3 linked regions of the Saccharomyces cerevisiae S288C genome follow. The gene in region 1 interacts genetically with each later gene. Each region holds a gene or a part of one and is shown in the gene's direction. Other genes may lie near its edges. The genes, in order: RAD26, CUL3 and SIZ1.

The links.
Region 2: of RAD26 (region 1) and CUL3, changing one enhances a phenotype caused by changing the other (phenotypic enhancement), as found in Saccharomyces cerevisiae (one study listed by BioGRID).
Region 3: mutations in RAD26 (region 1) and SIZ1 impair growth when combined (synthetic growth defect), as found in Saccharomyces cerevisiae (one study listed by BioGRID).

What each region holds. Positions count from the first base shown.
Region 1 is NC_001142.9:495,429-499,185, forward strand, and holds the start of RAD26 (DNA-dependent ATPase RAD26), read left to right. Parts: upstream 1-1,926; coding exon 1,927-3,757. Other genes in the region: RAV1 (Rav1p), read right to left, coding at 1-1,023; PET191 (Pet191p), read left to right, coding at 1,255-1,581. UniProt on the Saccharomyces cerevisiae protein: May be involved in the preferential repair of active genes.
Region 2 is NC_001139.9:498,630-502,386, forward strand, and holds CUL3 (cullin CUL3), read left to right. Parts: upstream 1-1,502; coding exon 1,503-3,737; downstream 3,738-3,757. Other genes in the region: SWC4 (Swc4p), read right to left, coding at 1-1,277. UniProt on the Saccharomyces cerevisiae protein: As part of the CRL3 E3 ubiquitin ligase complex; polyubiquitylates monoubiquitylated RNA polymerase II subunit RPO21 to trigger its proteolysis; plays a role in global genomic repair.
Region 3 is NC_001136.10:1,287,406-1,291,162, forward strand, and holds the start of SIZ1 (SUMO ligase SIZ1), read left to right. Parts: upstream 1-2,000; coding exon 2,001-3,757. Other genes in the region: TRAPPII-specific subunit TRS120, read right to left, coding at 1-533; ADE8 (phosphoribosylglycinamide formyltransferase), read right to left, coding at 810-1,454. UniProt on the Saccharomyces cerevisiae protein: Acts as an E3 ligase mediating SUMO/Smt3 attachment to septins and PCNA. May be involved in chromosome maintenance.

The sequences.
Region 1 (3,757 bases):
CACATTGTCATAGGGTTGTATTTCGGGGAGGTACAAATATCTTGTATCGTTTAGCATAGTTGCTTTCTTGACTTTTTTATGGGAAATGGTCTTTTTAGTCATTGGTTTTGGAGGATCTTGGGAAAGATTATTCAAAGCCAAAACTTCCATTTCCCCAGTCATTGAACCCAGAATAACAATGTCTGAGTCAGATATATCAAAGATTTCCGAGTCTTTCACACTGAGAGTTTGCCTAATGATCCAATTGTCTATTATCACGCAGAACTTCTGCGTGGGGGAAAGAGGCACTTCACCCCATATTTGCACAGTATGGTTTTTCTCCATTTCAAAACAAGACCATATTCTCAGAACTTTATCTTCACACAGCGTATAAAGAGCATGAGAGGCAGTGTTGTTTTTACTCACCTGGTCTGGCTCTTTTTTCCACCGCATTGCAGTTATAGGTTTCGGATGAGGCAACATAGTAAGGTTAAAGATGGCTTGTTCTCCGACTATTGAAACACGCTTCCATAGTTTAGCATTACAGTCGTACTTCCCAATACTGACTATCAGCTGCGAATCTTGTGATATAATCACATTATAAACAGGTTTAGGCTGTTTTTGGTTCCACTGCAAAATAGGTTGATACACACCAAAATTATCCTTAATTTTCCAAAAAGAAAGAAAATCAGATCCAATGGCTAACTCATTATCAGAAGACCATCTTAGGCAGTTTACTGGCGTGTCATCATGGAACAACTGGCAACATTGGGTCCACTTGGGATTCTGCATAATTTGATGAATGGGCTTGTAGATGAGCACCCTATTGTGGAAGGAAAGGGCAATGAATCCATTCTGGCTGTTAATATCGACCGCAGTACAGTCTGATTGTGTATATATGGTCTGTAACCTAGTGAATTTGTTGGTAAGTATGATTAAATTATTCCCTGAACAATATGCAAAGATGGTATGATTTTGCCATGTTGCTTGACAAGCTGTCTGAGGGGTAGCATTGGGGCGTCCTGGAAGAAAGTTCAATGACATGAGAACTACCTTTGCGTGTGCACGTTTGTTTACTTTCTCAATTGTTTGCGGTGTTCTTAGATCCCTTTAATTATTAAAAAAACTGAAGTGCTTGAAACAATAACATAACGAGGTTTCGCTATGCGGGCAGCTTTAAAGAAAGAGGGATAGTATATTAAAAGGCTGCCATAACAATTAATCGGAACAGAATAGACACAAATAAATTTGCAGTGCGTTTGTAGATATCAAAGAATGGTAGCTAGTTGTAAAGATCAGAAGAAGGCTGTCGCTATATGTTTGCAGAGATCGCCCTGTGTCATGATAGAGAGACATAACCCTCAAGAATGTCTTGACAATCCAGAGCTGAATAAGGATCTGCCCGAACTTTGTATTGCTCAGATGAAAGCATTTTTGGATTGTAAGCGAGGAATCGTCGACATGACTAAGCGGTTCACAGGTAACGCACCTCTGTCGACTGGCAAGTACGATCAACAGTACGAAAACTTGTGCAAAGGAAAGTTTGATCCGAGGGAGGAGATGGAAAAGCTAAAACTTCTGAACAGCCAGCAGAAGGACTGATTATTTATGAAAATTGGCCTGTAAATATATACATAAATAAATATATGCGTCAAGCTCTTTTATTCGGTTTGTCCAGTAATCCTCTTACAATATATATATATATATATACGCATGTAGCGTATTCAAGAACATTACATTTAAAAAATAGAGGGTAGAACAATAAAAATGCACTTAACAAGTTCCGTAAGTAGAAATTATAATCAGTCTAAGTACAAATTTATACCTTAGCTTCATTTCAGTTAAGGGCGATGCAATAAAAGTGGAAGAAAAAAAAAGAAGGGAAGAGGTTTGATAATATATATATATATATATATATAACATTGCTCAGAGAAACATACATCAGTGATGGAAGATAAAGAGCAGCAAGACAATGCGAAACTTGAAAACAATGAGTCACTAAAAGATCTGGGAGTTAACGTGCTTTCCCAAAGCAGTTTGGAGGAAAAAATAGCTAATGATGTAACTAACTTTAGCAACCTACAATCGCTGCAGCAAGAAGAGACTCGTCTAGAACGGAGTAAGACCGCTCTGCAACGTTATGTCAATAAGAAGAATCATCTCACAAGGAAGTTGAACAATACCACTAGGATATCTGTTAAGCAGAATCTCCGAGACCAGATCAAGAACTTACAATCAGACGATATTGAACGAGTTCTGAAGGACATAGACGATATCCAATCAAGGATTAAAGAGTTGAAAGAGCAGGTAGATCAAGGTGCTGAAAATAAAGGTTCCAAAGAGGGGCTGCAGAGACCCGGTGAAACTGAGAAGGAGTTTTTAATCAGGACTGGTAAGATCACTGCATTTGGACACAAGGCTGGTTTCAGCTTGGACACTGCAAACAGAGAGTATGCCAAGAATGACGAACAAAAAGATGAGGATTTTGAAATGGCAACAGAACAAATGGTAGAAAATTTAACGGATGAGGATGACAATCTCAGCGATCAAGACTATCAAATGAGTGGTAAAGAGAGTGAAGATGACGAAGAAGAAGAAAATGACGATAAAATTCTCAAAGAACTGGAAGACCTGCGGTTCAGAGGCCAACCTGGTGAGGCGAAGGATGATGGGGACGAGTTGTATTATCAAGAAAGGTTAAAAAAATGGGTGAAACAACGTTCTTGCGGTAGTCAAAGGTCATCGGACTTGCCAGAATGGCGAAGACCTCATCCGAATATTCCCGACGCAAAACTTAATAGCCAGTTCAAAATACCCGGTGAAATATACTCGCTGTTATTTAATTACCAAAAGACGTGCGTTCAGTGGCTCTATGAGCTTTACCAGCAGAACTGTGGCGGTATTATTGGTGACGAAATGGGTCTGGGAAAAACGATTCAAGTTATCGCATTTATCGCAGCGTTGCATCATTCAGGTCTATTAACAGGCCCTGTATTAATTGTCTGTCCTGCAACTGTGATGAAGCAATGGTGTAATGAGTTCCAGCATTGGTGGCCTCCATTGAGGACGGTCATATTGCACTCAATGGGTTCAGGAATGGCTTCTGACCAAAAATTTAAGATGGATGAAAACGATCTAGAGAACTTGATAATGAATTCAAAGCCAAGTGATTTTTCTTACGAGGATTGGAAGAACTCAACAAGGACAAAGAAGGCATTGGAATCAAGCTATCATTTAGATAAGTTGATAGATAAAGTCGTTACTGATGGGCACATTTTAATTACCACGTACGTTGGGTTAAGAATACATTCAGATAAGCTACTAAAAGTTAAATGGCAGTATGCTGTTTTAGATGAGGGACATAAGATTAGAAACCCAGATTCGGAGATTTCATTGACTTGCAAAAAACTGAAGACACATAATAGGATCATTCTTTCAGGAACACCGATACAGAATAATTTAACCGAGCTTTGGTCGCTTTTTGATTTCATTTTCCCTGGTAAATTAGGAACTCTACCTGTGTTTCAACAACAGTTTGTCATACCTATAAATATTGGTGGTTATGCAAACGCAACAAACATACAAGTTCAGACCGGCTACAAATGTGCTGTTGCATTGCGTGACTTGATTTCACCGTACCTGTTACGTCGTGTGAAAGCTGATGTTGCAAAAGATCTGCCACAAAAGAAAGAAATGGTTCTCTTTTGTAAGCTTACGAAATATCAAAGAAGCAAATATTTGGAGTTTCTGCATTCTTCAGATTTAAACCAAATACAAA
Region 2 (3,757 bases), on another chromosome or scaffold:
GCGAGAATTTTGTTCTGCAGCGCAGGTTTGAAGGTCGATAATTTTGTAGATCTTAAGTATACACCCGGCGATAGCTTCTCACCATGCGTAATCACACCTAAAGCCTTCCTTTCATCTGAATTGAAATCTTTCAGCAATTGTTCTGCATATGCGCTTTCTGACTTTCTTTTGAGCGCCGTTTGCATTTCCTGTCTTTGTCTTTTGGTTTTCTTGGGGGAGAGATTTTCCTTGACTTCTGACTTTTTTACATTCAGTTGTTGAAGTTGCCTATGTTGGGCAAACTGCTGTTGCTGCTTCATCCAAGGATTTTCAGGGATGTTCAAATCGTGCTTCCGCTTTCTAGTTTTATCTGCTAGAAGCGCGTTATATAACTGAGACATTCCCTGAGAGGTAAGGTATTGTGTAATTGTCTGATCTGAATGTGGCGAGTCCAACAGTCGGAGTAATGATTCTCTTTCTGCAAGTGTTCTCTTGGCAGCCATTTCAAATTTTTTGGACTCTACTACGAGTGCCTCTTCTTCAGCAATTTCTGCTGCAGAACGAGAAAGAAGACGCTGTAAATACTTTTTTCTCTCTATCTCCTTTTCAGCTGAAAAATTCAAAGAAGATAAAAGCGGATTGCTAGGATCACTTGCTTTAAAATAATTCCTACAGGTGTAATAAAATTTTTCTTTGAGATCTTCAAGTGTTCTTGAATTATTATAACTGTATCTGTCAAAGATCAGGAACCAACGTAAATCGTATTTTTTGCAGAGATTGAACAGGTATTCTATTTCTTCAAAAGACCAGCTATTTTTACTTTCATCCTTCTTTTCATTAGTAAAGTTTTCGTTATGGTTTTTTTCACTTTCTACGCTTTTTTGAGTTCCTTCGTTTTCATTCATAAAAGCCTCGTACTCCTCCTTGGTGAATGATGGAATAGATAAATGCTGATTGAACTTAGAATATGGCGATTCTTTTGGTGTGTCTCCTATTAATTCTTTGGAACCCTTGACCCAATGACGCAGAGTCACAGAGTTATTAGCTTTGAACTCTACAAATGACCAAGGAGATGGCTTGGACGTCGAAAGCATTTTTTCTTTAAAGTTATTTCCAGACTTAATAACAACGGGGGGTTGGTTCTCTCCTAGCAGGTTAAATAGTTCTCTTTGCATGCCCGTCACTTGAGGCTTGGGCCGGTTGGCTGCCGAGGACGAAGGCACTGATACCTGGCCATTAGTTGGACTTCTGGATTTTTGCTTAATGTTTAGTACATCAAAGATGTCTGATGATGACATATTACCTGTGGTTTTTTTACTAAATTTTCGTATTATCGGAGAAATATGTTATGAATGCTTGTTGCTATTAAAATACAAAGTGGATTCTTGATTTATCACTAAATAGCTACCCGGAGTTGGCGCATCGCAACTTCATTAAATAAGTTCGAGTGTGCGTATTCTAATCTGATTCATATAAAGTATACTCTAAACGGGCTAACTCAAATCTGAAATTAGGGCTACTATATGATAACTAATAAGAAAATAAAGATAAGTGTCCCAGAAAAACTCGGTTTGTCAGAAGAATCTTTTGAGGAATCCTGGGAAACAGTTAAATATGCCATTGATCATATATACAGCGATGACATGGCCGACCTTTCCTTCGAACAAGTGTACAAGACCATTTATACTATCGTTTTAAATAAAAAGGGGCCAATACTTTATAACAGATTGAAAGATTATTTAATCCAAAAATTAGCGCTTTTGAGGGAAACGATAGTCAAGGACAATACTCATGATTATGAGTTTCTTGGAACTATGGCACGGTTATGGGAGGTGCAATGCCATTGTTTTAAAATAACGGGAGACTTAATGATGTATATGGACAAAGTTTATTGCAAACCAAATAGATGCATGGAGGTATACGACATGTGCCTCGATCTTTTCCGAATCGAAATATTGCAAAAATGCTCATCTTCTCTCATCTCAGCACTGATATCTGATATAGAAAGGATTCGTAATTTAGGATCTGTCGACTCCGAACATACTAGTTTGTGGAAAGTACTAATAGGAATGATGGAGACATTACATGACAATAGAGATAGTTTTTTCTTAACCGATTTTGAGCCGGTTTTGATTAGCGCGACAGAAGAATACTACAATAAAGCTATTGATATTGAATTATTAACGCCAATTGAGAGCCTGGAAAAGATTAGGAAGTTAAGGCAGTTTGAAAGTATGCTAGACTCCTCTTTTCTAAATGTGGATTCTCATAATAAGTTGAAGACTGTATTAGAAAATGTCCTTATATGGGGAAAGTTGAGTGATATTATTGAAGATCTAACGCACGAAGCAATGGTAATTTCAAATGGAAAGCTACTCCAAGAAATTTATGACTTGTCAAGCGAGGAAAAATATCGCGTTACTGTCATTGAATCTATTAAATCTTACATCAATAAAAATGCCATAAATATTCCTTTTAATGAAGGTAACCGCAAAAAAGGGCAGAATGCGATTACTTGGTCTTCGGAAATTGTAGAGCTATATCGCAGTCAACACTCGTTTTTGGAAAGTATTGATTTTGGTTCTGTTCGTCTTAATAATTTGACCGGGGATGTATCTAATGCAATACTTGGCGATGTTTTCTCAATGTATTTCTCTAAAGAAGGAGCATTACCATCTGAGTATCTTTCTACCTACGTGGACCATTGTATGAAACGAACCAAGGAAAAAGATGCTGAAATAGTGAAGATCAAGCAAGATTTGCTTGATAGTACCAAATTAATCGGACTCCTAACTGAGAAGGATATATTTGAAAAGATTTACAAAAAACAACTCTCCAGAAGATTACTGCAGCAGAGGTCTTTAGTGGAAATTGAAAAATGGATGGTGCAAATGATAAAGAAGGTTCTAGGAACTTTTTTTACCTCAAAATTGGAGATAATGCTGCGAGATATATCTTTATCCTCTGAAATGTATCAAGCATTCCAACACTCAACAATCAACAGCATAGAATATTTGAGTTTTGCACCACAAGTTTTGACGAGAACGAGCTGGCCCTTTCAGAGTACTAATCCAATTGATGAAGGTATTTCACTACCTCCTAGAATGTCACAAATTTTAGCTGGCTTTGAGGGCTATTACAGCTTAAAATACAAAGAAAGAGTGCTAAAGTGGGCTCATCATCTAAGTGTAATTGAAATTGGCTGCCAATTTAATAGCGGTTACTACGAAATAAGTTTTTCTGTTTACGCTGGAGTGATTTTCCTTCTATTTGAAGATTATGAAGAATTAACGTTGGGGGAAATATATGAACTAACTCATATTCCCATAGATGACGTTAAGTCTCTTGTAATGTCAATGTCGACAATACCCAGATGTAAGATTTTGAAAAAATCATCCAGTTCAGGAAATATGAAATTTTCAGTTAATTATTTCTTTTCTTCTCCAAACAGGAAAGTGAAAGTGCCGGTTATTGCATGCCCTCTACCATCTCAGAAATCAGATAATTTGGCAACCGCAAGTTCCGTGGACACTTATGATAATGAAATTGTTATGGAGCTTAGTGCTATTATTGTTCGTATCATGAAAACAGAAGGTAAGCTAAGCCATCAGCAATTACTTGAAAGAACTACGAAACGGACACAGTCTCGGCTCAGTCTTACACCGAGCATTTTGAAACGAAGCATTCAGCTTTTAATAGAGAAAGAATACATCCAGAGAAACGCAGATGACCCCTCTTATTACCATTACCTTTCCTAATTGCTTATAATGAAAATCAC
Region 3 (3,757 bases), on another chromosome or scaffold:
GAAGAGTAATAGCTGTTCAATGCGGTTAAAAAGTTCCTTGCTATGTCGCACATAATCGTTTCTATGTTTTTCTGCATATCTGGAGAAGATGCGAATACATTTTCCATCGTATCTATGGTTTGCTCAAGCTCTTTAGTGGGTGTAGATGAAGCGTACACCAAATTCGGTGAAATCAAAGTTGGATACTTCTCCTTCATGAAATTCAAATTGGTCAAGGGGTCACTGTAATCGTTTACCAGCCCAATAATGACAAATGTTTTCCGAAATGGCTCAAAATCATACAGAAACAACTCCAATGCATCGTCATGATCTATGGTCAAGAAGTCGAAAAATAACTTCCCATGTGGAAAGCCTTGCGGTGTGAAGATAGGGCTGTCAATGGGGGTTACATCAGACAGATGAATTTCGTTGAATTCAGAAAGTTTCTGTACCGCATTATTAAACTCTTTTCGCGTCCAATGGCCAATTGGTATCACTAAGGTCCTAATCTTAGATGGGCCAACATAGCTTGGGAAATGCTTAAGAATATTCATGGTTTTTGTCTCCCTGTAACAGGTTGTGAGCCGCACCTTAAACCAGTTATACTAGAACCGTTTAAACTACAATCTGGCCTGATTTTAGTTTTGCAATAACACGATTAAGCGTTTACACATGCACATTCATATATAAGTATACGTATTTACACACATTTTATTCGAAACCTTTAAGATCGTTTTGTCACAATCCATGATCATGATTTACGACGCGAGATGTTTCGCGCCTCACTTTGAAGAATGCCAAATATAAAAGTATAAATATGGGAACTATTCTTATTTGTGAAGCTGCTGTAAAACCTTATATGTAGCTTCTACAATCGCGATGTGCTCAGCATCGTGTACCCTTTGCTCGTACTGCTCTAGTGTTTCTTCGCCAGGTATGATTTCTAGCTTTTTTACCACCAATGGCTCACCCTTGTCGACCTCCTCGATGACATAGTGCACCATGCATCCGGCCGTCAGAGGCTTGTTCTCGTCCTGACATTTGCGCCATGCCATTTCAATTGCGTGTGTGGTACCATCGAAACAACCTGGTAGCGCTGGATGCAGATTTAATATCGGCACAGATTGCAGTTGGCTCAAGAAAGTAGATCCAAGGATCAATAACCAGCCCGCGCAGATGATAACGTCAGGCTTTTCCTCGAGCACTAGTTTTGCGAGGTCGTTCTCAAACTGGGATCTTGCCTTGGCCCTTGCGGCTTTGTCCTCCTTCGCAATACCCTTTGTATATGGGTATAGCGAACAAACCTTTGTGGGGATATTATTGTCCGCTGCCCTAGTTAACCCGTATGCCTTCTTGCTGGAAGATATGACAGAGACAATATGAGCATCCTCGCCTAATTGGCCCTGCTTTTGGGCATCGATCAAGGCTTGCAAGTTGGAACCTGAGCCCGAAATTAATACGACAATTCTGGCCATAGCTTTTGGAAAGATTATTGATGTGTGTTGGCTCTCACCTGCGCTTGCTGCAAGTTAAATCATCAACCTTGAGGCTAGGAGCGTTATTCAACTTTAGAAGTGTCTTCTCTTCATAAACTACTCTATATAACTTTCCTCTTGCTGGAATAAAAAACAGGTCAGAGTCACTAGCAACGAGTCACTCATTCGAATCCTTGCTGACGCTTTTAGTCTTTATGCTGAAATCTATCTTCGAAGTCGGAAGGAAAATGCATTTTTAAACTATCACTAGAACTACCATTTTAGAGCGAGCAGAAGGTTCCTCTTTTCTTAAACAAGTATAATTTTCCTTTTTGGATTGTACTTTATATTCTTACACTAAACGGCCCCTAGATGTCACCTGAGCTGTAGTCAATGTATACACCCATTCACCGCACCAGATAGTAAGTTGAAAAGTGTATCATCTTTAATATGAATATGAAAGAATGAAGTGGAGTTCATCCATATTTCACAAGAAAAGAAGACTCCAACTCAAACAGTTGAGTGTTCCATATACATTCTGTTTCAATGATAAATTTAGAGGATTACTGGGAAGATGAAACGCCTGGGCCTGATAGGGAACCGACTAATGAACTAAGAAACGAGGTGGAGGAAACCATCACTCTGATGGAACTGCTGAAAGTGTCCGAATTGAAGGATATTTGCAGGTCTGTATCTTTCCCGGTTTCCGGTCGCAAGGCCGTTCTACAGGACCTTATCAGGAATTTCTTGCAGAACGCTTTAGTAGTAGGCAAGTCTGATCCTTATAGAGTTCAAGCCGTTAAATTTCTGATAGAACGGATCAGAAAGAATGAACCTTTGCCTGTTTATAAAGATCTTTGGAACGCTTTAAGAAAGGGTACCCCATTGAGTGCTATCACAGTACGTTCTATGGAGGGGCCTCCCACGGTGCAGCAGCAATCACCTTCCGTTATTAGGCAGTCTCCCACTCAACGGCGGAAAACGTCTACCACATCTTCCACATCTCGTGCACCACCACCTACAAATCCAGATGCCTCTTCTTCTTCATCATCTTTTGCTGTACCGACAATTCATTTTAAAGAGTCTCCATTTTACAAAATACAAAGGCTAATCCCTGAATTAGTGATGAACGTGGAAGTCACAGGCGGAAGAGGTATGTGCTCTGCGAAATTTAAATTGTCCAAAGCAGACTATAATCTATTAAGTAACCCGAATAGCAAACACAGGCTATACTTATTTTCTGGGATGATTAATCCATTAGGATCCCGAGGTAATGAACCCATCCAATTTCCATTCCCAAATGAATTAAGGTGCAATAATGTTCAAATCAAAGATAATATAAGAGGTTTCAAGAGTAAGCCGGGCACAGCTAAGCCGGCGGATTTAACGCCTCATCTCAAACCTTATACTCAACAAAACAATGTGGAGCTGATATATGCCTTCACCACGAAGGAATACAAGCTATTTGGGTACATTGTAGAAATGATCACTCCGGAGCAACTCCTGGAAAAAGTATTACAGCATCCAAAAATTATTAAACAAGCCACGTTACTTTACTTGAAAAAAACACTTCGGGAGGATGAAGAAATGGGCTTGACTACCACATCTACTATCATGAGTCTGCAATGTCCAATTTCGTACACAAGAATGAAATACCCTTCAAAATCAATAAATTGTAAGCATCTGCAATGTTTTGATGCATTATGGTTCCTACACTCCCAACTACAAATTCCTACGTGGCAATGCCCAGTATGTCAAATTGATATAGCTTTGGAAAATTTAGCAATTTCCGAATTTGTTGATGACATTTTACAGAACTGTCAAAAAAACGTTGAACAGGTAGAACTTACTTCTGATGGTAAGTGGACAGCCATATTGGAAGACGATGATGACAGCGACAGTGACAGCAATGATGGTAGTAGAAGCCCAGAAAAAGGTACTTCAGTATCGGATCATCATTGTTCTTCTTCACATCCAAGTGAACCGATTATCATAAATCTCGATAGTGATGATGACGAACCAAATGGAAATAATCCTCATGTTACTAATAATCATGATGATAGCAACAGGCATAGTAATGATAACAATAATAATAGTATCAAAAATAATGATAGTCATAATAAAAATAATAATAATAATAATAATAACAATAATAATAATAATGATAATAATAATAGTATCGAAAATAATGATAGTAATAGTAATAATAAACATGATCATGGTAGTCGCAGTAATACTCCCAGTCATAATCATACTAAAAATTTAATGAACGATAATGATGACGATGATGATGATCGACTTAT